Linked DNA regions of Alligator mississippiensis. The protein of the gene in region 1 purifies or fractionates together with the protein of each later gene. This does not show direct contact. Links are inferred from orthologs where the notes say so. Each region holds a gene or a part of one and is shown in the gene's direction. Other genes may lie near its edges. The genes, in order: GNB1, CD81 and PFDN5.

The links.
Region 2: the proteins of GNB1 (region 1) and CD81 purify together in Homo sapiens (co-immunoprecipitation; 4 studies listed by BioGRID and IntAct, with this or other methods). This does not show direct contact. The link is inferred for Alligator mississippiensis from reciprocal best matches to the Homo sapiens genes GNB1 and CD81.
Region 3: the proteins of GNB1 (region 1) and PFDN5 purify together in Homo sapiens (co-immunoprecipitation; 3 studies listed by BioGRID and IntAct, with this or other methods). This does not show direct contact. The link is inferred for Alligator mississippiensis from reciprocal best matches to the Homo sapiens genes GNB1 and PFDN5.

The regions. Positions count from the first base shown.
Region 1 is NC_081836.1:13,022,507-13,030,203, reverse strand, and holds the start of GNB1 (guanine nucleotide-binding protein G(I)/G(S)/G(T) subunit beta-1), read left to right. Parts: upstream 1-4,627; 5' UTR 4,628-4,791; intron 4,792-7,697. UniProt on the Homo sapiens protein: Guanine nucleotide-binding proteins (G proteins) are involved as a modulator or transducer in various transmembrane signaling systems.
Region 2 is NC_081825.1:188,706,135-188,713,616, forward strand, and holds the start of CD81 (CD81 antigen), read left to right. Parts: upstream 1-4,478; 5' UTR 4,479-4,619; coding exon 4,620-4,685; intron 4,686-7,482. UniProt on the Homo sapiens protein: Structural component of specialized membrane microdomains known as tetraspanin-enriched microdomains (TERMs), which act as platforms for receptor clustering and signaling.
Region 3 is NC_081838.1:9,180,674-9,188,532, reverse strand, and holds PFDN5 (prefoldin subunit 5), read left to right. Parts: upstream 1-4,833; 5' UTR 4,834-4,871; coding exon 4,872-4,940; intron 4,941-5,564; coding exon 5,565-5,667; intron 5,668-6,114; coding exon 6,115-6,146; intron 6,147-6,520; coding exon 6,521-6,595; intron 6,596-6,868; coding exon 6,869-6,974; intron 6,975-7,061; coding exon 7,062-7,141; 3' UTR 7,142-7,374; downstream 7,375-7,859. Other genes in the region: ESPL1 (separin), read left to right, coding at 1-57, 353-517, 863-1,064. UniProt on the Homo sapiens protein: Binds specifically to cytosolic chaperonin (c-CPN) and transfers target proteins to it. Binds to nascent polypeptide chain and promotes folding in an environment in which there are many competing pathways for nonnative proteins.

The DNA.
Region 1 (7,697 bases):
TTTAAGCTTTTTAAAGGTATTTGCTATCCCATACTTACTGTAGTTTAAAATAATTGTATTTAGATGTTATATGACTCTAAAAATGGGTACAAGTTAAACATGGGTGAATTAGAGTATTTTCTGTGTAATCTGAGCAGCAGAAAGAGTAGAAGTTTGTCAGAAAGATTAGTAAGAGAATTTGAATGTATAGTTAATCACAAAGCAGAATGACAAGCACAATAGTAGTGATAGAAATGAATGTTGTTTTTGTAATATTTCTGTTGTGGCAGTGGCAGAGCATTGGCAGGACCCTTGTCTCTCCAGCTTTTGCTTGTGCCATGTTATTAAAAGGTCTTGGCATCTTGTAGATGGTTCTAATTATTTGTGAGGGCTTAAAGTGGCAATTTTGGGGATTCCTTAGGTTAACAGTAGCCTACTAATGGAGGGGATTAGACTCGATGCCCTAGGAGGCACCTTTTAGCCCTCTGTTCCTAGTATGACAATGCTCAAAAGCAGTTGGGCTTGAGACCCATTGTGATATGGTCTGTAACGATACAGGTAAAAGTTAACCTCTGCCTTCACTGGCTTTCAGAATCCAGGGAACATCCAGATTTGGGAGCAATGGGAGGATTCTGAAACTGGAACGTAGCAGTTGAGCTGCAGCAACATGAAGCTCAGTGCAGGCTGCAATATGCACCCAAGAAGAAAGGTAAAACAGCTCATGCTTTTGCAGCTAGATTGCTACCGGTACTTGAGCCAGCTAGTTTAAAGCTAACTCAGGTATGTGTACACTACATTGCTAATACTGCTGTGATTTACACCTTTATGGGCTAGTAGTATAACCATTTTACAGATGGGATGATTGCTCCACAGATTGGTAAAAGGCATGAAACCAAGCAGCAGTTCCTCCTGCTGCACCTCTACCAAATGTACACAAAAGGGAGGTGGTGATGTTTAAGCCAGGTTTTCTGGGAAGGGTGGAAGAGATGCAAGATATGCAGTGGATCTAAAGTGAATGTTGATACTGCACAGATATTATTAATCCTCAGCCACCTCCATTTGTATGTGCCAACAGCAATCACATGCACGCAAGAGTGAGAGTGGAGCCCGAGGGCTGAAAACTAGAACACAGCTTTCAGTGTGTTGTGTTTGTGTGGAATCACAGACTGGCTTGATTTAAAGGGATGCTCTCTAAACCAGGAGTACCTGAAGTTGCCTGTTGAACAATTGTTCCCTACTTGGTAACATTTCATAGTGATACCACAGTATGTTGAATATTCCTCATTTTAACAACTAGCTTCTTTGTATTCTACACAAAAGGCTTGTATATTTCCTATGCAATTGAAACGAGAGTTTTTTACTGCTTTCCTAGTGATATGTAGTGTGTTGTACACACAGGTCCTGGGTGAGAGTTCAACCTGCAAAACTCCAGCTCCCTAAAATAACAGCATCCTGGAATGAGAGAAAAGACAAACTCAGGCTAGGATAACTCAAGGTCTTGTAATCATGTTTTAAAGACTGTTGAAATGAACATAGAGCAGCAGACCAGCCCCAAGATCCAGCTGGTTCAGTTTCCCTTGTCCATCAGCGGATTATACCAAATGACTCAAGGAAAGGGGCAAGACATTACATACTCGGGAATGATGAAAACAACTGCTTGCAGCAAAATCTGCTCTTTAGCTCTAGGTAGCTAGGGAATAGATACACTTGGGAATATTAGAAAAAACTTTTCACTAGTGATCTGGGATTCCCACCACTGTTTCTGCTGAAGTGGACCTAACATTTCTGAGAGTGCAAGTTTAGAGAACGTTATGTTGGTTTCTGTCAGGGCATTAAACTTACCAGCTGTCTGCACTATATCTCATTTACATCAGTTGTTGCAGACACTACAGGTTGGACTGATAGACAGAATTAAATATTTAATTTTGTCATCAGACAGCTTAAACTTTGTTTCAGATCTTGATATGTTCATGTTGCCTTGGAGCTACAACAATCCTCTTCTGCTAATTAGGATACACAAGCATTTATGCTGTTGCCAAACGGAGGTCAGGCAAACACCTTTGCTTCCAAGACGGCACTCCATGTGGACACCAAAGTGAAACAATGGTTTTCAGACAAAATATAATTTACTAGTAGCATCCACATTCTTTCAGGAGGCTTCTAAAATGCAAAAGAATTGTCTAATCAGACAATAAAATTAGCACTTGTTTTTTATTGGAGGATGGGTCATAAGTAAACCAGGAACTACTCTAAAAGTTGTATTTTAAATATCTGCTTTGGAAGCAAAAAATAACTGTGACTGGGCATGTACAAGCATAGAGTTCCTCTTCAATCCTCTTAGCCAATCTCCATAAATTGAAAGAGGTTACAGAGCACAGGCACAAGTCTTCAGTCTTCATATAATACAGGGAAGGATACACGTTATAGAAACTCCTGGCTGAAAACAAGATGAACTCCAAAAGTCATTTCTTGTAAAAGGTACAAGAGCAGAATTCCTGTCCATTTTCCTTTACCAACAGTATGTAAGAACAAATTAGACATAAACACCAAGGGAAGGTCATGGGTACAAGTGGGATCTGGTCTCACATGTAGTTGAAATGATGAGAAAGAAGTGGGCGCTGGTTTATTAACGTCTGGTTGCAAAAAACATTTGATGAGATATAGCTTTATGTCCATTCATGTATGGAAGGAGATGAAACCCAGCCCCCAGGGAAAAACACTCTCAGAAGACTTAGGGAAATAAAAGCATCTTTCAAAAGCTTGGAACCTTATTTAAGGCCAATGCAGATATCTTTTTTTGCATTTTAAATCTGCCAAGGTACTTCTGTCAGTCAGAATGAAAATGGTAAAACCTGTTTTAACAATCAAGCTGATGACATTCTCTAAGAACTTTTCAGGCCTAATGGACTTTGCTTAATGGTACTAGTTTTTTTTCACTAGGTCACATATTTTAATGTATTTTGAATCCTGGGTAGTTTCTTTTTTTTCAACACAAATCTTAATACCTATCTATACTACAGAGCCCCAACCAAAGATGAAGCTGGGTCACTACAGGTTGTAGTGTCCAACCTGTAGTGTCTGCAACATGGTACTGGGTCACTACCCCAAATGACACAGGCTAAGATGACAAAGCACCCCCCTACCCAATTTTGTCGTCACAGCCGTCTCCACACCAGGGGTTTTACACTTCTAGCAGACAGGCTTTATTAACCTATTAACCTAAAAATTACAACTTAGTCTCAAGTAGTATATAACACACGCTACAACCACATTCAAAAGTATTTCGAAGCCTACCTATCTGAAATCCCACCGCTCAGAATAAGAGGCTGTTTCGACTGGAACATTGTAATAGCTATGTTTATAATTACACTCTTTTGTCTCCACAATACTTTAACAACATCCAGTAAAATGGACACGTCGCTTCTAAAGGCAAACTCTCATCTCTAGCATAGAGAGAAACAAGACATACACGAGCCAAAGGCCCCAGTCTTATGAACATTTACACGTGCCCAGGTTGAGACACAAATAGTTGTACTGCCTTCAATAGGATGAGTCCTGCCCATAAAGCTTAGCACATACACAAGTGTTTTGTTTGTAGACAAGTTTCCTTGGGTGAATTTGATATCCTTGCGTGAGACGACACAGAACAGATGGCAAGCGCAGGGATGGCAACGCACAGGTCCTGGTGCTCAGTGCTCGAGCCACTTGAGGAAGCTGCCTGGGGGAGGGGAGGTTGTTTGCCAATGCAAGGGCTGAGCGCTGAACTTTAAACACAGGATGTAGGACCGTTCAAACAACATCACAACTGTTGTAAAACAAACAGTAACAAAACATGGATACCCAAGTTCCTCCACAACAACCCACCGTCCCTACGGTGACTAGCTCACACCCTTTCTCGGTCTCATTTTAACCAACTCCACCCAATTTTGAGGTCACGCTCTTCTCTGTAAACCTAATTTTCCAGCCTGCCCCTTCTCAGGACGCTCATCATCTCTTTAAATTGTTTTTTCTGTGGAAGAAAAAGTGGGACGCTTACAAGAAGCCTCTCTTATTGAATAGTTTCAGTATTTTTCCTCATTGCTGTCGGTTCTGGCTTGGTTTTCCTTTCTAGCTCAGCCGGGCTGCGTTGCTCATCGTTAGGATTTTTAAAACCACTTCTTTCTATGGATTTTAAAGCTTTTTTTTTTTTTTTGGAAGGTGTTTCATCTCTTTGTAAACGGACTTCCTGGTCAGGCGGAGGCAGGATCCTCCCTTGCACACGCCGCCACTTAAGAAAGCACAAATACGGGTAAAGTGTGTGCGTGTGTGTTGCGGGGACACCGGCACCAGCACCTCTCTATTGCTTTTACAGGGAGGGCAGAGCGGGGCGGCCGCGGCCTGGCGTCACCTTCCCGCCGGCGGCGCGGTGCTGCCCTCAGCTCCGGCTCTCCGCGTGCTGCGGGGCAGGGCGAGGGGGTCCCGGCCCCCGGGCCGTCCCCTCAAGGACACCTCTGTCCCCGCGTCCGCACCCAACGCCCGCACCCGGGCCCGGCGCTGCGGAACAAAGGCGCGGCCCCTTCCCTTCCCTTCCCCTTCCCCTTCCCCTTCCGGCGGGGCGGGGCGGGGCGGGGCGGGCCGAGCGGGGTTTCCCGGCCGGGCCGTCACGGGCGGGGGGCGGAGGCGGGACCGCGCCCAGGCTCCGGCTCCCGATGGCTGCGGGGAGCTGAGCGGGACTGACTTGGAGCCGACGCCCGGGGACCCCTCGCGCCAGGCGGGCCCTTCTTCTCCTCCTCCCCCCTCAGCCGGAGCGGGCACCGCGGCCCCGGGGAGCAGGTACTGCCCGCCCTTCCTCCTCCTCCTCCTCCCCCCCTCACAGCCGGGGCTCCCATCCCCCCCGCCGCAGCACCCGGCCCGGCCCGGCCCGGCCCGGCCCGCGGCGGGAAGCGAGGCAGGCAGGGAGGGGCCCTGCCGTGTCTGGTGTCGGGGCGCCGGGGGCTTGGCGCGGCCGAGGTGAGTGCCGGGCCGGGCCGCGCCGGGCCGGGCGGGGCAGGAAACCCCGGCAACATCTGGGGCTCGCGGGGGCTCCACCGCCTGCAAGGGTGGGGGGGGTGCACATCTGGAGCTGGCCTTGTGCTGCATGTTTGTGCGAGCCTGAACCCGGAGCGTGCCCCATCATGGAGGATGTGCGCGCCCCGGCAGAACAAGGGAGCCGCTCGCTATTGAAATCCTGTGAAAAATAGATGTGGTTTTTCAAGCCTCGCTTGCTCCCGTACTGTTTTCAGCACCCCCCCCCCCTCCCCCTTTGCTCCTCATTCAAGGGGCTGCTTAGATTAGAAATCTGCTTTTTATTATCATTGCAAAACTGCCTCTCAAAACCTGAAAATGGGCGTAAGGCGCGCACAGGCAGAGGAGAGGAGAGGCAAGAATCAGTTGAAAAGGGGGGTGGGGGGGGAGGAAGAGAAATCTTGTCCAGCAGAATATAAGGATGATGTAGAGGTTATTCTACGGTGTCGATTTATCGTGTGTGAGGATCGGCTGAAATTTTAACGCGTGCAATTTTTCACGGTTCTCCAACCAAGTCCAGCTCTGGACTGGTTTTAAATAAAGCATCCTCGGGCGAATGCCGGCAGCCACGTTGGGAGGCATTGCCTGCTGCTGGGGGATACCGGCTCCAATTAAAAAAAGAAAAAAGCAGGGGGATGGGGGGGAGGGAAAAAAAAGCGAAGCTATATCATTAAAATGGTTTCTGAAGCAGCAGGCTGACCTCCAAAGGGAGGTGTTCGGAGACTGGCATTAAAATGAGATACCGTTAGGTGCAGAAATTACCAAACTGTAAGGGGGGGGGGGTGGGTATCCCACATTTTGAGGCTTGTCCTCTGAACACGGGGATGTGACAAGACAAAACGCGGTCGGTTTCTACGTGGGAAATGCAACTGAAAAAATAAGCTCCTACCCAGAGAGGTAAACTCTTTATAAGCGCTGTACATCAATCTCTTCCGATTCGGCGTGTTTTAGGGGGAGAGAAGGGGTGATAATAGTGCAGTTGTTTTGGTGGCTGCAGATTACCGAGGGTGTGTGTTTGATTTTCTTTTTGCTGTGAATGAATGGATCCTTCTGTGCCTGGGCCCAGTAACTGCAACAAGATGGCGTTTGCAGCAAGGCAGCTCTCTCATTTTCAACTCCTCCTCACCACAGCTTTGCCAAACTAGACACTATCCCTTAGTTGCATTTTAGATTTCTCTCTTTTTTTGTTTTTGTTTTTGTTTCCTTTCTCCTTTTTTGTAGTAGGAGGAAGGCTTGGGAGGTGGGGGGGGTGCAATAAAACAAATATATAGGTATTGCTTATTTTTAATTTTTTTTATAGCATTTCCCCCCAGTACAGGAGACTAGGTGGGAGGAGTAAATAGTTTTATTGAAATTTTCACATAGGCTGTGACTGGTTAAAGCAGTAACATGATGCCCAATGTCTGTTCATAATGGCATTTGGAAAAAAAAATTCTAGCTTATTTCAGCAACAAATTTTAACGAACACATATTTTTATATAATCCAGAATTGAGGTCTGTATGGAGAAAACCTGTATAAAAGGCTCTGTAGAACTGCATGTTTCCTACCATCCTAGTAATAATTAGACCCCCATGTAGACAGTCATATCTTTTTTTTTTTTTTTTTTTTTCTTATCATAGAAAGGAAGCGCCCTTCTGCTTCAGAGCCCTCCAATGATTTGTGGAACCTTTTAAAACTGCATTTGACCTGAAATTGTCAGTTTGCATAATTATTCTTTTATATTAGATGCGGGGGAGAAGAAATGAAAAGGCTATTTGCATATTAAAACCTTTTTCTGTGTTCCTTGCCCTATTTTAAAAATTACATCATACATTTATAAAATCTTTTAAAAAGTGGTTTTGTAGCACCTTAAAGTGTACATTTCTTAATCAAAGCCTATTAGGTTTCCTGGTTTATTAATTATAGAAAGCTAACGTTCCCTCCCTCCCCCCCCCCCCCAGTTTAGACACTTGATTAAAATAAACAATTCAGCTGATACTTGACAAAAACAGATTTACTTATCCTCAAGCATGTTCAAATGACTCTTAACAGTTCTAAAATATATGTCAAACTACACAAAATATTTGGCTGCTTTTTTGATGCTTTCTGAATTAAAATTTTCTCTCTCCTCTTAATAATGGTATGTGAATTCTGGTATTGCTGTGTGGATTTATTTTTGTATAATCCATCACTTGCCAGATGCTTTTATAGCTTAATTTTCCTAAGGCTATAGGAACCTTTTTATGATTGAAGTTTTTTTTCCCACTCTTTAATTTTTACAGGAAGTATATAAATCCCAAAATGCTTGTATTAAAGAAATTAACATTTCTCTAATTAGCTCAATAACTCATAGAGAACTTTTAAAAAATCTGTCAGCATAAAATTTCAGTTTAATTTTTTTGTTGTGTTCCACTGAATTTGAAACTAACAGTAGTATTAGTACTTGGTACTAATACTAGTACTTCAGATATGTTTTTAAGCTAAAAAAGAAATAAATGGGGGGAAAAAACATTTTAGTCTCCTGCATTGAGTGACTAAGGCAATATAAATTTATCTCTGCTTAGTAGTCCTTCCAGTTGCTAGGTTAGTTTGTAGCAAGCATCCTATCATGAAAACTTAGTTGGTACCTGAGGTTAGAAACCCAATATCAGTCCTGGTGGAGCAGTGCATTAGGACCTTTTTCCCCACTTTGAAT
Region 2 (7,482 bases), on another chromosome or scaffold:
GTCCAGGAGTCTGCTAAGGGACTAAGAGTGTGGGACCAATGAAGGTCCAGGAGCCCAGAGGAGGGTCTAAGTGGAAGATAACATCCGTGAGTGAGGCATGGGGTATGGTGTAGGGGAAGAATGGAACCATGCAATTAGCCCATAAAGCAAGGACCACAGGAATCTGGTGTTCATTTGAGAGAACAATTTAGGATGCCCTGGTGCAGCCTCCCTCATATAAAAGTAAAAGACATCAAGGTGTGGTGGGTGGCTGAAGGGGTGATGATTGCCCACAGAAAGTGAGGGCTAAAGGGACTCCAGGGGCTTCATGGCCATCCCAGGAAAGGCACCTCATCACAATGAGCAAATAATACATTTTACATGGCAAGAAAAAAAGGATTAAAACTTGGTTTCAGGCAAACATTTGTGAAATTTTACAGTATTTATTTTGCTTGAGTGTTGCTTTTCTTCATAGGCAATGTGTAGGGGAGGCACAGGGTGGGGGGCACATGCCCCCCTGAGATTGGCCCTTGCCAGCCAGGGAGTGTGGGTGCCAAGAGAAGCACTAGCTGGTGCCCACCCTGAGTTTGCGGCCGGCCAGGGAGTGGGGGTGCTGAGAGAAGCACCGGTGGCATTTTTTAGGTTTTGCTGTGGGTGCTTCCAGGGTCAGCCACTGGGGGACCCCCTCTTTACCCAGTCAGTGATCAGCTGCTGGGGGATCCCACCCCCTGGTCACTGGCGCTCCTCCAGACTCAGGAGCCACCAGTCACCCATGGTTTTTTTCTTTCCTCATGTGCTAAAACATCAAACTGCCTTATCTGCACATCAGAAAGCAACTCACACAAAGGAACTCTCATGGACCCAGAGAAACATGCATCCACTTTTAGCTTCTTCTGTGCAAAATTAAGTTTATTTTTTACCTCAGGGGACTTTTTACCTTCTTTAATTTTCCCCCAGCCTGAGGAAGGGCACAAAGCTGGCAAAGAAAGATAATTTTTTGTGATTTCTTAGTTTGTCTAATAAAAGGTATCATCTCTGAACCAAGAGTTCTAGAATTTTGCATTTCTTTTTATCTCAGACAAACACGGCTACCAAATACATCTCTGAAATTCATGCACACCTGACATGCATTTCTTTGGTGGACATCTTAAAATTCAGAACCCGTAAACACTTGTATACTTTAGTTTGCCATCATAAACAAGGCCACTGTTTCAGTGCTGCTGTTCATGGTAAGAAAGTTATATACAGGCAGAAGTGTTGGCAAGATCAGGGCTTCCTACAAGGTGCAGGACTTAGATGAGGGGCAAAAAAATAATTTACAAATGCTTTTCCAAATCTGCAACTGCTGGATAGAATCTGAATCCAAGCTGGTTATGCAAAATTGAGTGCAGCCCTAAACATTACAGAATACAATGGCAAATAGGTCCTCTGTTGTTGAATTCAGTGGAGACAGATACTTGATCCAGTGAAACAAGGGTTCTCAACCTTTTTAAGATCCAAGGCACCTCTGGTTAGACTCGAGGCATCCCTCAAAAATGCACTCTCTTAACTTTCAGTTGTTTTTTGACTATGGGAAAATAACTAGAGCAATTTTATTGCAAAGAACCCAGAAAAAACACAACAGGTCAGAATGTTTTTGACACAATGGTTTCCTCTTTGAAATCTCTGGGATTATCTATGAATCGTGCATGGGTGTTTGCATATTGCAGCATCCTTAAAATGATCTAGCACAGAGGTAGGCAAAATGTGGCCCGTGGGCCAGATCCATCTCATCAGCTGATCGGATCCAGCCAAAAGGTGGGCACCCACCAGTTGATTGCATTTGGCTCGCAGCTGCCTCCGCAGTGTTCTGCATGGTGCCAAGCCCTGTCTACTCCCACTTGGGGCAGCCTGCATTGCATTTCTGCCCATGCCCATCCATGGCCCTGGCTCGTCAGTGCACACAGCTTCCTAGCAGGGCTGCTCCCTGAGTGGCTGCAGCTGCGCGGGTACTGCTCAGATCCCTATGCCTCCAGTGGCTTCTTCTCCTCCTGCTGCAGCGCTCTGGGCAGCAGGTAGCATGGGGAAGGAGGGTGGCTGTGCTGGGTGGAGACACGTGCTGGGCACCACATGCCCAGCCAAGTGGGGGGAAGCTGCAGTCGGGCAGCTCCTGCCCCAGCATATGGGGCTCCAACTCCTGGCCGCCTTCCACCCACTCGGCCACCTATAGGTGGCTGCTTATCCTGCCAGGTGAGGTGAGTGGGTGGAAGGCAGCTAGGAGCTGGAGCCCTGTGCGCTGGGGCAAGAGATGCCTGGCTGCAGCTTTGCCACTGTCTGGCTGGGTATGTGGTTCCCAACATGTGTCCCCACACTTACCATAGCCGCTTCTCTGCATTACTTGCTGCCTGGAGCAGTGCCACAAGGGCAGGAGGAGAAGCCACTGGGGCTACGGGGGGCACTGAGCAGTACCTGGGTAGCTGCAGGCACATCAGGAGCAGCCCTGCTGGAAAGCTGTGCGTGCTGGCCAGAACTGGGGCTGTCAACAGGTACAGGAAGGAGTGCAGCATAGGCTGCCCTGGGCAGGAGCGAGCAGGGCTTGGCTTCATAAGGAGCACAGCTGGGGCATCCATGGGCTGGATGGGAGGGGTGGAGATCACCCCTGCACTACACAACCCAGGTAAGCTCTATTGAATGTACCCCCTGCTCCCCACTCCCTTCATCCCCCCACTTCTGGCTGGCTCCTGGGACTTAATGTGCAGGCAGCCTCTCCCCCCCACGCACGTGAGCACCCCCCACCATACAATATACAAAAGTAAGACTTTATTTTGAACTATTATGCAATTGTTTCTATATACACTACTCAAAAATACATAAATCAGGACAAAACATATTTTTTGAAATAAAATGTGTTATGATAGATGTGTGATTTTTAGTATCTGATTTAATTTTTTTAATTTTTTTTACTTATAAAACTTATTGAAACGCGATCGCCCAAAATATTTTGTGTGTGGCCCTGGATGGTTTACCAGAACTCGTTAGGTGGCCTGCCAGCTGAAATAATTGCCCACCCCGATCTAGCAGCAGCCAAGATGCCATGGCATCCTGGTTGAGAACCATCAGAACATCAAGCAGTTAGTGTGCTAAAGATGGTATCTTTTATTAGACCAACTAAGTTGCAAAAAAAAAAAAAAAAATCTAGTTGGTCTAATAAAAGATATTGCCTCTAGCACACTGACTGCTTGTTTTTGTACACCAACGCGGCTACAACCTATTGTGCGGGCCGGGAGCGGTCTGAGACCCTTGGGGGCACGCGGTGGGCTGTGGCCAGCAGCCTGGCATGTGGGTCGGGGAATGCAGGCCGGCGGACTAGAATTAGGCAAGGACGTGTAGCGGTTGATTAAAGATTATTTTACTTACACCGTAGATGGTTGCGGTGCAGGCAGGAGAAAACTTCGCTTAAGTTGCAGTTACAAAACTCGTACGAACAAGACCCGTAGACAAACTCGAGCCTCTTGAAATAACTCGGAAAGAGCTCTGGATACACACACGCAAAGTTTTCTAGGCTCCGTGGAACGAGCGCACAGGGAAGGGTACATCGAGGGATTAGGCGGTGACAGGGGGAGGCTAGAGATTGATCAGGCCCCTATATCCTTCTTAAGGCACACGCTGGGTTTGTTAGGCTCTGCAGCGCTTAGAGTTCTTCACAAGATGTGAACTCGTCCTCATCCTCCTCCAGATGGTTGTGAAGTCCTCCAACTTGGGCAGAAACCGCTCAAGCCACGTAGGAATAATTTAGAAACAGCCAATAGTGGGGAACAAATTTGCATGCAGGTGGCAGGAACTCCTTTGCACCGGGGTTTTCTCTTTGCAACTGAGAATTGCACCCTGCAAAGAAAGCTCCTCGTGGCGGGAAATAATTCTGCAGTGCTGAAGCACACACAAAATCATACCCTTGGGTTATGACACCTGTATCCACCAGAGCCTCAATATTTTGCTTTTTTCTGTAGTTGCTTATAGTCTGAGGGGTCTTTTGGCGGAGACTATTTTTCCATAAGCCTTCGTGGCTCATATTTGCTGGGTGACTGGAAAAAAGCAAGTGCTGTCTGGATGGTAGCTCCTCTCCCTTTCTGTGTTTGTGGGGTATGGATCAGAAAATACTTTTTTTTTTTTTTTTAAAACATATAGATAGATACAGCATCTAGGATAAGCTTTTCTTCACACACCTTAAACCATATTTAAAGCCTAGCACCTGTTACAATAAACACACCCACACACAGTCCTTTCCCTAATCCAGTTGCAGTCTCTTAGTCCTAGCCTCAATTTTGCGGTTTACAGTCTCAGTTCATTCACTGTCGTTGTCACTGCTGCTGTTCTATGGATGAGGACAGATGCACAGGCTGCAGAGAAATGAGGGGTAGATACCCCCAGGAGGCGGTAGCTTCCCTTTTAAGATGGCCTGTGCTTGGGTGGGCGGATTGCAGGGTGGGGGTGTCTCACAAGCAGGAGGAGCCAGAGAAGCAGTCCAGTTTTCTGCTTATGTTGTGCTTCAGCTCGAGGAAGAGAAGCTGTGATCAGGCTCTGCAAGAGCAGCAGCTCCATCTCACGCTCTGATTTATCAGGCCACAGCGTCCAGGCAGCTTTGCTTGCAGAAATTTTCAGCCATGGGAGTGGAAGGCTGTACCAAGTGCATCAAATATCTGCTGTTTGTCTTCAATTTTATCTTCTGGGTGAGTGCATTTGCTTGGGGTGCAGTTTTGCATGTGATTTAATGGCTGGGGAAAACGAAAAGGGAGTGGGGGTGGGGGGGGGGTAGAGAAGGAAAGGAAGGTGAATGTTATGTTTCAGCTTGCTCTCTCCTGCTCCTGGCTGGTGTCAGATTGCCACCAAAATAATGCAGCAGGCTCAGAAAGGAGCTGACTTTCCCATCCTCTGCAGGAGAGAGGCACAGAGCTTTCTTCTTTTTCCCTAGCAGCTCTGGGGGATGAGACCTGGGGAGGGAACAGCAGCAACCTTTAAGTGGAGAAGATGGAGGGGGGAGGGAAGATTGGCTCACCCCAAAAATGGGTGTTGCATTGATAACAGAGCCTAGCTTGCTCAGAAAACCAAAGCTGGGAACTATCTCTTCCCATCCCCCTCCCCAAAACCACTGCTACAATAATTGATTACAATAATTGAGTCAATTTGTACCACCCCCCTCTTTCTTTTGAAATGGCAAATGTGTTTGGTTTGCTGCGTGTGCAGATGGTCTTCAAACTTAATAAACCACCTGTGAGCTGCACTGGGAAAAAACAATGCTTGGGAGACAGCCTACTTGTTTGTCTGCTAGGTTGATGGGGCATGCCTCTGTGTTCAGTATACAGGTCTGCAGCCATATAATAATCGAGATTTAAGACACTTGGAAAGGTTTTATTTTTTTTAGCTCTGTGGTATGTGTTTTGGTTTTGTTTGTGCCTCCCCTTGGGTTCTAACTGATTGAAAGTTGAGACTCATTAATTGCCAAAATATATGAAAATGTAATGGAGGCCAGGGCTTTGGAGTTGAAAGTTGATCTTTCCTGGTCTTTCTGTCATGTCAAGAGAAAATGAGAACTGTGTCCTTTAAAGAGAAAATGCCAACTGTGTTCTACGTATACAGGCTTTTATATTCAAGGCCACTTGATTTTTGCCAAACTTTTTTAATACAGGCAGCAAATTTGGATCTGGACAATGCATGTAAATGGCTCGAAGTGATGAGAAATGGAGCTCCTAAAAATATGTTTAACCAGTGGTAGGATTGTTCTGTGTTTTGAAAGATGGGTGGAGTGAGAGATTGCAGCCTCTACATGGGAAGTGACAGTCTGTTGCTGTGGTTGAGGTTGCTATAGCTTGCTGCTTTGGAGATGTCGTTCTTGGAGGCTCTCAGATGTCACCCTTTCCTGCCGTCTGCCTCTTATGTGGAGAACAGTTTTCAGCCTGGAGGGTGGGGGTTAAAACTTGCTTGGTGGCTAAAGTAGGCGGATGATGGTGTCTCAAAAGAATTGGCCACTCCGAGCTACTTCCCACACTCCTCCCACCTATCCCTCCCTCCCTGCCTGGAGAATTTTGCAGGGACCACACCCCACTGCTCAGAAAAAGTCTTTGCCTCATCTGCAGGTTCAAGAGGGGTTTGGGTTTGTTGGGTTTTTAAGTCATATTCTGTAGTCAGTGCAAGTTGGGAAATATTCTTTCCTACTATTTGGAAACAAGCTGTCTTCCCTGTGTCTGTCCAGAAAGGGCATCCCAGAGGGCTCCAGCAATTAGGGGGGAGAATAGTCAATATACACAGCTTTGTTAATTCAGCAATTGGTCACATCCTTGCATTTCTCATGTGCGAACGTTTATAGATATGTAACCAGGATAAGTGTTACTGCCTAACTTATGATGAGCCACCCCCGCTTCTGGGAGAAATAATAGGAATTGGGGGTGGGGGGGAGAATGTCTTTTGTTCAATTTAGCTGTTTATTTTTCATATGTTTTTCCTCCCCCTGAGATTGCTGGGGAAGCTCTTGTAGCTAGCTATCATTACTGAAAAACAGTGGAAGCTGTTGCGGTCTTGTTGTAGGTTGGCAGTTCAGATAACACACAATTCTTGCACCTTTGCCAGAATGAGATAGTTGCTTAATACTTTCTTGACTGTGGCCCCTGGTTTTAGAGTTAATGTTTTCCGAATGTTTATGAACACATGGCTATGTCTGACCCTTCAGTCTACTTTTTAATCTGAGGTCACAGCACATCTGGGTGCTGATCGGACACTGCAGAGTGGCACCATTTGAGAGATGCAGTTTTACATTAGTTAGCAGGGTGATTTAAAAAAAAAACAAACCCAAAAAAATACCCTGTGGATTCCCATTTTCACTGAGTTCTGCAACAGTGTTCCTTATTAGCAACTAGAAAGAGCAGTGGTGATGATGACTACAGAGGGGAGCTCAAGGAAGGGGAAACCTGGTAAAGAAACTTAAAAAATCCCAAATGACTTGGGGCTTTCTCACTTAAAAGGCACCATTCATAAAGGCGCTCTATTTACATGACCAAGTCCCCACCCAGGCCAAGGAGCAATGATTATCAGACAATGCACCACTAACTGATTTGCTAGGTATGTAAACAGGAGATGCCTTATCACCCAAAGCCTGATTGTTTATTTGCTGGGAATTTCCTATTTGTTCTGTTACTTTCTTAGTCTTTAATCCTTCCCCTCATGCTGAGAAGCGGCAGTCTTTCTATAATATTGTGCATATCAATAACATCTCCACCAAAAAAATCTTGGAGGATTTGCTAGCGTGGGATTATGAAGATGTACTGTGCCCCCGGCAATGCAGTCATTGGCCCTGTTTTATGAGTGGGCAAAGTGACATCCAGGGATGCTTTTTGTCATTGGTCAAACTAGGAGTAAAACCTTGGTCTGTCAGATACTTTAACTGTAAGACTACCTTCCTGGGGCTTTATATTCAGTACACCTGTTGAATCAATTGGGGTGTTCCTGAACCCAGTTTGGATTCAGGCTGAACTG
Region 3 (7,859 bases), on another chromosome or scaffold:
CACTGTTCCAAGCCGGGAGCAGATGCAGGCGGCGCTCATGGAGCATGATCTGTACATGTAAGTGGCCCAGGCTGCTGCACTCCTGCCCTGTCCCAAGTCCAAGGAGGGTGCAGGGAAGCAGCCCAGACCCCAGGTCTTAGTACTGTGGGACATTCCCTTGGCCTGGCCTTTCTGTCTGCCATGATGACATCTATGCTGCTGGTAGAGCCCTCTACAGTGGCAGAGCTGGTTACCAGCCAGGCCAGGGGCCTGTTGCTTTCTTGAGCTGCTCTGAGGTACAGGGTGGGATGCTGGAGCTGTGTGCCATCACAAATCAGCTTTTCCCCCACCAACCCCCATTGTTCTGCCATAGCTATGCTGGGCATGGGGCAGGTGCCCGCTTCCTGGATGGCCACTCGATCCTGAAGCTGGACTGTGCGGCTGTGACCCTGCTCTTTGGATGCAGCAGTGTCGCCCTGGCTGTACGTGGCAGCCTCGAAGGGTCTGGCATCGTCCTCAAGTACATCATGGCCGGGTGGTGAGTTCAAGCCCAGCACTGTATGGGCCATGGGGGTGGCGGGGCTCCTATGGCTGCTGGGCCCTGCAGTGGGGGCCAAACCCCTTCTGAGGCAGCTGCAGGTGAAGCTGAGGGTCTCCTTCCTGGTCCCTGCAGAGGCCTGGTCCTGAAGCATGAGATCTGCTTGCATCTTGCTTAGCTAACAGGGCTCTGAACCGAGCACCCTCCTTGTAAAGGCCCTGCCCCAGTGCATGCCCCCACCAGGGCAAACCCAAATCCGAGGCGCTCAAACTCCATGGCTGTCAGCCAGTTGCAGAGCTCCATCCCCTGCCCTGAGCTCACCCCCTGGCTTTTCCCTCCCCACAGTCCCCTGGTCCTGGGCAACCTCTGGGACGTCACCGACCGCGACATTGACCGCTACACGGAGGCGCTGCTCCAGAGCTGGCTGCGGGCAGGGCCAGGTGCCCCCCTCCTGGACCACGTCATCCAGGCCCGCCAAGCCCCACGCCTCAAGTACCTCATCGGTGCTGCCCCTGTGGCCTACGGCCTCCCTGTGTCTCTGCACTGAGGAGCCACAATTGGCTCTCTGGGGGTGCCCAGCTCAGTGCCTCAGCCCCATGTTCTTCCACAAAGCAGTTACCTGTAAAACCGCCTTGAAGCCAGACCTGCCTTGTGGCTTAAGTGCCTTGAACTCTGCAGCTGATCTTGGCCTCAGCTGACCCTAGGGGAAGGTCCCAGCTGGAGCCTGGGGAGGGGACCTTTAGCCCTGCAGCTTTTGCACAAGGGCTGATTTGTGGGGATCCTGTCCCTGGAATCTGCATTCCTAAAATTTTAACTTATTTTAATTAAACCCCAGTTTTCATCTGTCACAATCTGGTGTATGTTGCACTTTGTACCATTGAAATAAAGCTGTAGAGTCTTGCTCGGCCTGCACGGATTTCCTAGGCCTCAGTTCACAAGGGCAGTTGGCACTTATTCCTTGTCTGGCACTGCCCGGCTTCTCTGCCCTGAAATTTCACCTAAATAAGAACTTGGCACTGCCACTGCCCATCTCTTCTGGGCAGGCTGGGGCCCTGGCTGTGGGTACCAATGTCAACAGGCCTCCTGCCTAGGCAGCTGCATTGGTCTAAAGCAGTGCTTCTCAACTTCCTTCATAGCAGGACCCATTGGTTTAGTGCCCCTTGCTCATGACCTTCAGCCCCTCCCAACGGGGGGTGGGGAGAAGGGGTGGCAGCAGCCCCTTGCAGGCTGGAACTCTGCCAGCCTGCAGGGGGAAAACTGCAGTTTCCCATGGTTTCTTTTTTCTTCTTTAAAAATAGATTCTCCTTTAAAAAGTTTGTTCATGACCCTTTCATATATTCTTGCGACCCACTTTTGGGTCACAACCTGCAAGTTCAGATATGCTAACCTAAAGTGTGCTTGCCGTTTCTTTTGGAGGGCGGGCGGTGGGAGGGGGAAGTGCATGGCTCTAGGATGCTGCAGTCACTGCTCATGGGGTATAAGTGTGGATGCTTGGTTCACTGGTGCTGCTCTTGCGCTGGATTTGGGTCCAGGCCTGAGGTAGAGCACTAATAGTTGTCACCCCTCAGTGTCTTTGCTAGTGGCTGTGTCCTGGAATTGTAGAAAATGTGGGTTGGGAGGGACCTCGGGAGGTTGCATTAAGTTCAACTACCTGTGCGAAGCTTAGCAGTAATGCCAGCTAAGGGGGTGTTCCCAGGACAGTTATACCAGCCCCAACCCTTCCACAAGGGCTGGGCTCATGCTATTGGTGAGGGCAGCCAGGGGCACCCTATTTATAACCGAGCGTAGCTTGACTGGTTGGAGCAGGGCTCGCGTGATCTGGGGTTTTGTCACCTGCCAGTGAGCTGTCACTGTGCCTCTCTGAATCAGTTTTTCTGCAGCTAGTCTGTATGGTGCAGCTCGGCCCTGCTTCAAACCTGGCGAAGTCCTTTCTTTCGGAGCCGTGCAAATCCAACCTGCTGAGGCTGTATTGCTCCCTGATTCCCTTTGTACCCTCTAGTGCTTGTTGATATGCCAGGTCTCTTTACAACCAGTACAGGGATTTGGATAGCTCCTTCTGTCCAGGGCCCTGGTGTGTCATTCCCTTAACCATAGCCTGAATGCTGGGAGGCTGCAGCAGTGAAGGCAAAAGATATAGACTTCACCCTGATGTCAAACTTGATAAAGAGTCAGCCCAGCTCTGCACAACCCACTGCCATGGTGATGATGCACTAGAGCACCTGGCTGTTACCAGACCTAAGGAAATGTTCTTCTCCTTTCCTAGCACTGGCAGGAAGGGTGCTGATGCCTCTGCCTCTTCCAGCACAGCAGGGCTCTGGGGTGTGAAAATGTTGTGCAGGGACCTCAGCCCTTGCTCTCAGGCATTCATTTTTTGCCTTGTGATTAGCATGTGTTTCATAGTTTCTAGGGTTGGAAGGGACCTGAACCCATCATCAAGTCTGACCCGCTGCCCTGGGCAGGAATGAGTTCTGGGATCATAATACCTCAGACAGAAATCTATCCAACCTCCTCCTGAAGATCCCCAACGTAGGGGAGAGCACCACCTCCCTTGGGGCCCGATTCCAGAGCCTGGCAGCCTTAACTGTAAAGTAATGCTTCCTGCTATCAAACCTGAACTGTTTCTATTTGCATATACCTATTCTCCACTTTGGGACTAAATCTCCAGGGTTGGAGGGTCTGAGGGGAGCAGGGGCCATGGATGTTTGCTCGGTCTTGGGTCTAGTGAGCAGAAGAGCTGGGCACTCTTCCCCTTTAGCAAGACTTTTGAGGTTTGTTTAGGCAGGCTTTTGATGCCATTTCCTGTACCATTCTTGCTACCAAGCTAATGAAGTATGAGTTGAATGATTGGACTATAAGAGGGATAAAAAACTGGCTGGAGTTCATAGAATCATAGAAGTCGGGTAGGAAAGGACCTTGCAGATCCTAGGCCTCCTGCCTTGGCAGGAAAAAAACTGGGCTCAAATGACCCCGGCCAGGTAGGCATCAAGCCTCCTCTTAAAGACCCCCAGGGTAGGAGCCAGCACCACGTCCCTTGGAAGTTGGTTCCCGATCCTAGCTGCCCTGACCGTGAAGTAGTTCTTACAGATGTCTAATCTAAACCTACTCTCCAACAACTTGTGGCCGTTTTTCCTTGTTATTCTGGGGGGCGCTGGGGGAAACATGGTCTCCCCTAAACCCTTCTGGTCCCCCCTAGTGAGTTTATAGATGGGCACCAGGTCCCCCCTCAGCCTTCTCTTGTGAAGGCTGAACAGGTTCAGGTCCCGTAGCCTCTCCTCGTAGGGCCTGCCCTGCTGTCCCCGGATCGTGCGGGTGGCCCTCCTCTGGACCCTCTCAATGTTGTCCACATCCCTCTTGAAGTGGGGTGCCCAGAACTCGACACAGTACCAGTTGTTGGGTTCAGGTTAATAATCAGTGGCTTAACGGCTAGCCGCTAGCCGGTGTCAAGTGGACCGTCCTCATGAGGCCAGTTTTGTTCAATATCCTCATCAGCAGTCTGGAAGATGGCACCGAGCGCGCCCTCAGCAAGTTTGCAAATGACACCAGGCTGCAGGGAGAGGTAGATACGCTGGAGGGTTGGGCCAGGATTCAGAGAGACCTCAAAAGATTGGAGGATTGGGCCGAAAGCAATCTCATGAGGGTCAACAAGGACAAGTGCAAAGTCCTGCACTTAGAACAGAGCAATCCCATGCACCGGTGCAGGTGGGGGGCTGACTGGGTGGGCAGCAGCTCTGCAGAAAAGGAGCTGGGGGTGAAGCTGAAAGTGCCCTTGTTGCCCTGGGCTGCACTGGTAGGAGTGCTGCCAGGAGGTCCAGGGAAGTGAGTAATCATTCCCACCCTCATGGGCTCTAAATCTATGCCCCACGCGCGCCCCTTAATTTGCATACGTAGCTATACCTCATGTGCATCCCCTCATTTGCATATGCAGCTACATCCATGTGCGCCCATTGATTTGCATAAGTAAATATATCCCACGTGCCTACCCCGTCGTTTGCATAGGCAAATATATCCCACGTGCAACCCATCATTTGCATATGCAAATGTTCCTCTTAAAGCCTGGCCCGCCCGGGCTTTCCTTGCACTTCCCTGTCCCCGTCTGGAGCATCACCGCCCCCCCCCCAGCAATGGCGGCCGGAAGTTGGAAAATAAGTCCCCCACGAAGCGAGGAAAAGGAGGGCGGAAGTTGAGAAAAAGGTCCCACCCCTTCGCATACCAATAGCGGCCGGAAGGAAGCACGGCCGCCGCCGCTCTTCCCAGGGCTAACCATAGAGAGGAGCGCGACGGGAGGGGCGGGGCACACCATCGAGCTCGGCGGCCGCGGGCCAGAGCGGCGCCGTGCCCCCCCCCCTCCACCAAGATGGCGCAGGTGAACATGGCGGAGCTGTCGCTGCCGCAGCTCGAGGTGGTCAAGAGCCAGCTGGACCAGGTCGGCCCGGGCAGGCCCCGCCCCCGGGAGGGGGGCATTAACCCCTTCAGCACCCCGCTCTGCTGCCCCCCCCCCCCGTTAACGCCTTGTGGACAGGCCTGGGTCCCTACGCCCCCCTCCAGGGTCTGATCCTCCCATGCACTGATGCAGACCTACCTCCCCCCATTAACCCCTTGTGGGCAGTGCTGGGTCCCTGACCCCCCCCCGTCTGACCCCTCCATGCACTGATGCAGACCCCCCCATTAACCCCTTGTGAACAGTGCTGGGTCCCTCCCCCCCCAGTCTGACCCCTCCATGCACTGATGCAGACTCCCCCATTAACCCCTTGTGAACAGTGCTGGGTCCCTCCCCCCCCCAGTCTGACCCCTCCATGCACTGATGCAGACCTCCCCCCCATTAACCCCCTGTGGGCAGTGTTGGGTCCCTCCCCCCCCCAGTCTGACCCCTCCATGCACTGATGCAGACCTCCCCCCCATTAACCCCCTGTGGGCAGTGTTGGGCCCTCCCCTGCCCCTATCATCCCCCCCGGGGTCTTTCCCCTGCCCCGGGGTCCCGGGAGGGCTGTCCCCTCGGCTGCCGGCCCGTGCGCGGGGGGCTGATCTCCCGGCTGTGCGGCCCCCGCAGGAGGTGGAGTTCCTGTCCACGTCCATTGCTCAGCTCAAGGTGGTGCAGAACAAGTACGTGGAAGCCAAGGACTGTCTCAACGTGCTCAACAAAAGCAACGAAGGCGAGTGCCCCCGGCCTTCCCCCGCCCCCCCGGAGGAGGCGCTGTCATGCCGGTGCCCCTGGGCAAAGCAGCACTGGGCCCAGCCCCACCCGGTTTGGCCCCACGCGCCTTCCTGGGCTTGCTGCCACCTGGAGCCGTCTTCCCTCGCACCCAGATCCCCAGGGGAGGGCGTCTGCCTGGCAGCCGGGACTCCCGGGTTCTTTCCCTGCCTCTGCCGCTGCTGCGCTGATTCACAGCCCAGGGCAGGGCAGTCTCCGCTCAGGTTCCCCGTGGCCTTGGGCTTTGCTTACACGGCTCCAGGCCCTTGCTCCACGTCCTTCCCCTGCAGAGCTGCAGGTGTCCCAGCCCCGCAGGGCCCCGTGTGTCCTGCTGCTGGTTGCCAGCCCCCCCCAGTGCTGCAAGGGGGGTTGGTAATTAAAAGCACTGACATTTGCTTTGCCTCCACAGGGAAAGAGCTGCTGGTCCCACTTACCAGCTCGGTATCCTCCAGCCGGCGTGTGCAGCCTGTACTGATCTACCCCTTAACCCTTCAGGCCCCAGGAAGCAGCCTGCTCAGCCCTCCAGGGGGCTTTATTAGCAGGGGTCACACTGGTGGCTGGGGCACTGGCTGAGACAGTTAGAGCGGGTCACTTCCTCGCATCCAGTGTGGTTAGGCAGTGAGCTCCTGGGGCAGCTATGCTCTCACTCGGTGTGTGGCACCCAGCACAGCAGGCTGAGCCAGGGCAGGGCCTTAGGGCCGTAACACAACTCACCTGGCCCCCAGAGTTCAGCTGGTAGCCCCCAGTATAACTGTGCTGCTCTTATACAGCCCCCCCCCCCCCCCCCCCACCTGGGCTTTCCTTAACCCCATCAGATGTATGTGCCGGGGAAGCTCTCAGATGTCAACCACGTCCTCATCGACGTGGGGACTGGCTACTACGTAGAAAAGGTGAGAGGGGCTCTGGGCTGGGAGGGGGTCATACCTGCCCAGGAAACTCTGTTTAATCCCTCCCCAACCCATCTCTGTGCAAAGTCCAGCTGCTTCACAAGTGACTGGCCATGTCCCTGGTAGGATCCAGGTCTGGGGGATTCCAGGGTCTCCTAATCCAACCGCCTGCACAGATGCAGGGTTCACTGATAGCACCTGGCTACCTGGGTGGCCCAGTGTTTGCCATGTTACATGCCTAGAAGTGGGGATCTCGCAACCTCTTCCCTTTTGCAGTCGGCTGACAATGCCCGGGATTTCTTCAAGCGGAAGATCGATTTCCTGACGAAGCAGATGGAGAAGATCCAGCCGGCGCTGCAGGAGAAGCACACCATGAAGCAAGGTAGGCATGGGCAGCCCAGGTCTGGCACCAGGGCCTTGTCCACAGTTGATGCCAGCTCTGCTCACCATGCACCTTTCCCCCTTGCAGTTGTGGCAGAGGTTTTGAGCCAGAAGATCCAGCAGCTCGCAGCCGTGGGAGCCTCACAGGCAGCCACCACCAAGGCATAGCCCTCAGCCGTGGCCTGCGCTAGCCCTCAGCCTCGCCTGGGGACATTGCAGTCAGGCAGAAGCCAAGAAGCTGCTGGGGACGGAGCTATGGAGCCCCTGCCCCCTGCGGGAGGCCGTGCAGATTCTGTCCTGTCACATATGTGCCGTGTCCACCCAGGGGACCCCCCCCTCCTTTTTTTTATATGTTGCACATGCTGTTGGTGTCTGGGAGAAATAAAGAATGGAGAACCAGCGTTGTCTGTGTCCATGAGCTTTTTGTTGGGAGGCAGAGGGGGCTGGAAAAGGCAGGGATAAGGAGAAGCTGTTCCCAGGCTAGTGGGACAGTAGGTTGGTGTTGGGGGTGGAGGTGGGGACATGGGTCTCTACTTGGAGCTGGGACACAGGTGAGGGGCCAGCGCTGCGGTTGCCACAGGGCAGAGCTCTGCTTCCAGGCTCCTGCACCCTTTCGGGGGGGAAATGGGAAACCCATTGAGCTGTGGCAGGAGTAGCCCTGAGGGTGGGCAGCTCTGGAAGGGAGCCAGGCCCTGGTACCCCCTTTCCCCTCCACTAGGAGCAGGGTCCAAGCCCAGGGCTCTGATGAGCAGTGCCTATGCTCCCCTGCTTCAAGAAGCAGCTGGAGTCAGGCACTGGCTAGAGGCCACAGGAGAGGGGCAGGATGATCCCTGCCAGTCTTTGAGCAGCATGTAAAGCTTCAGCACCACATCCTCCCCAGACTGGG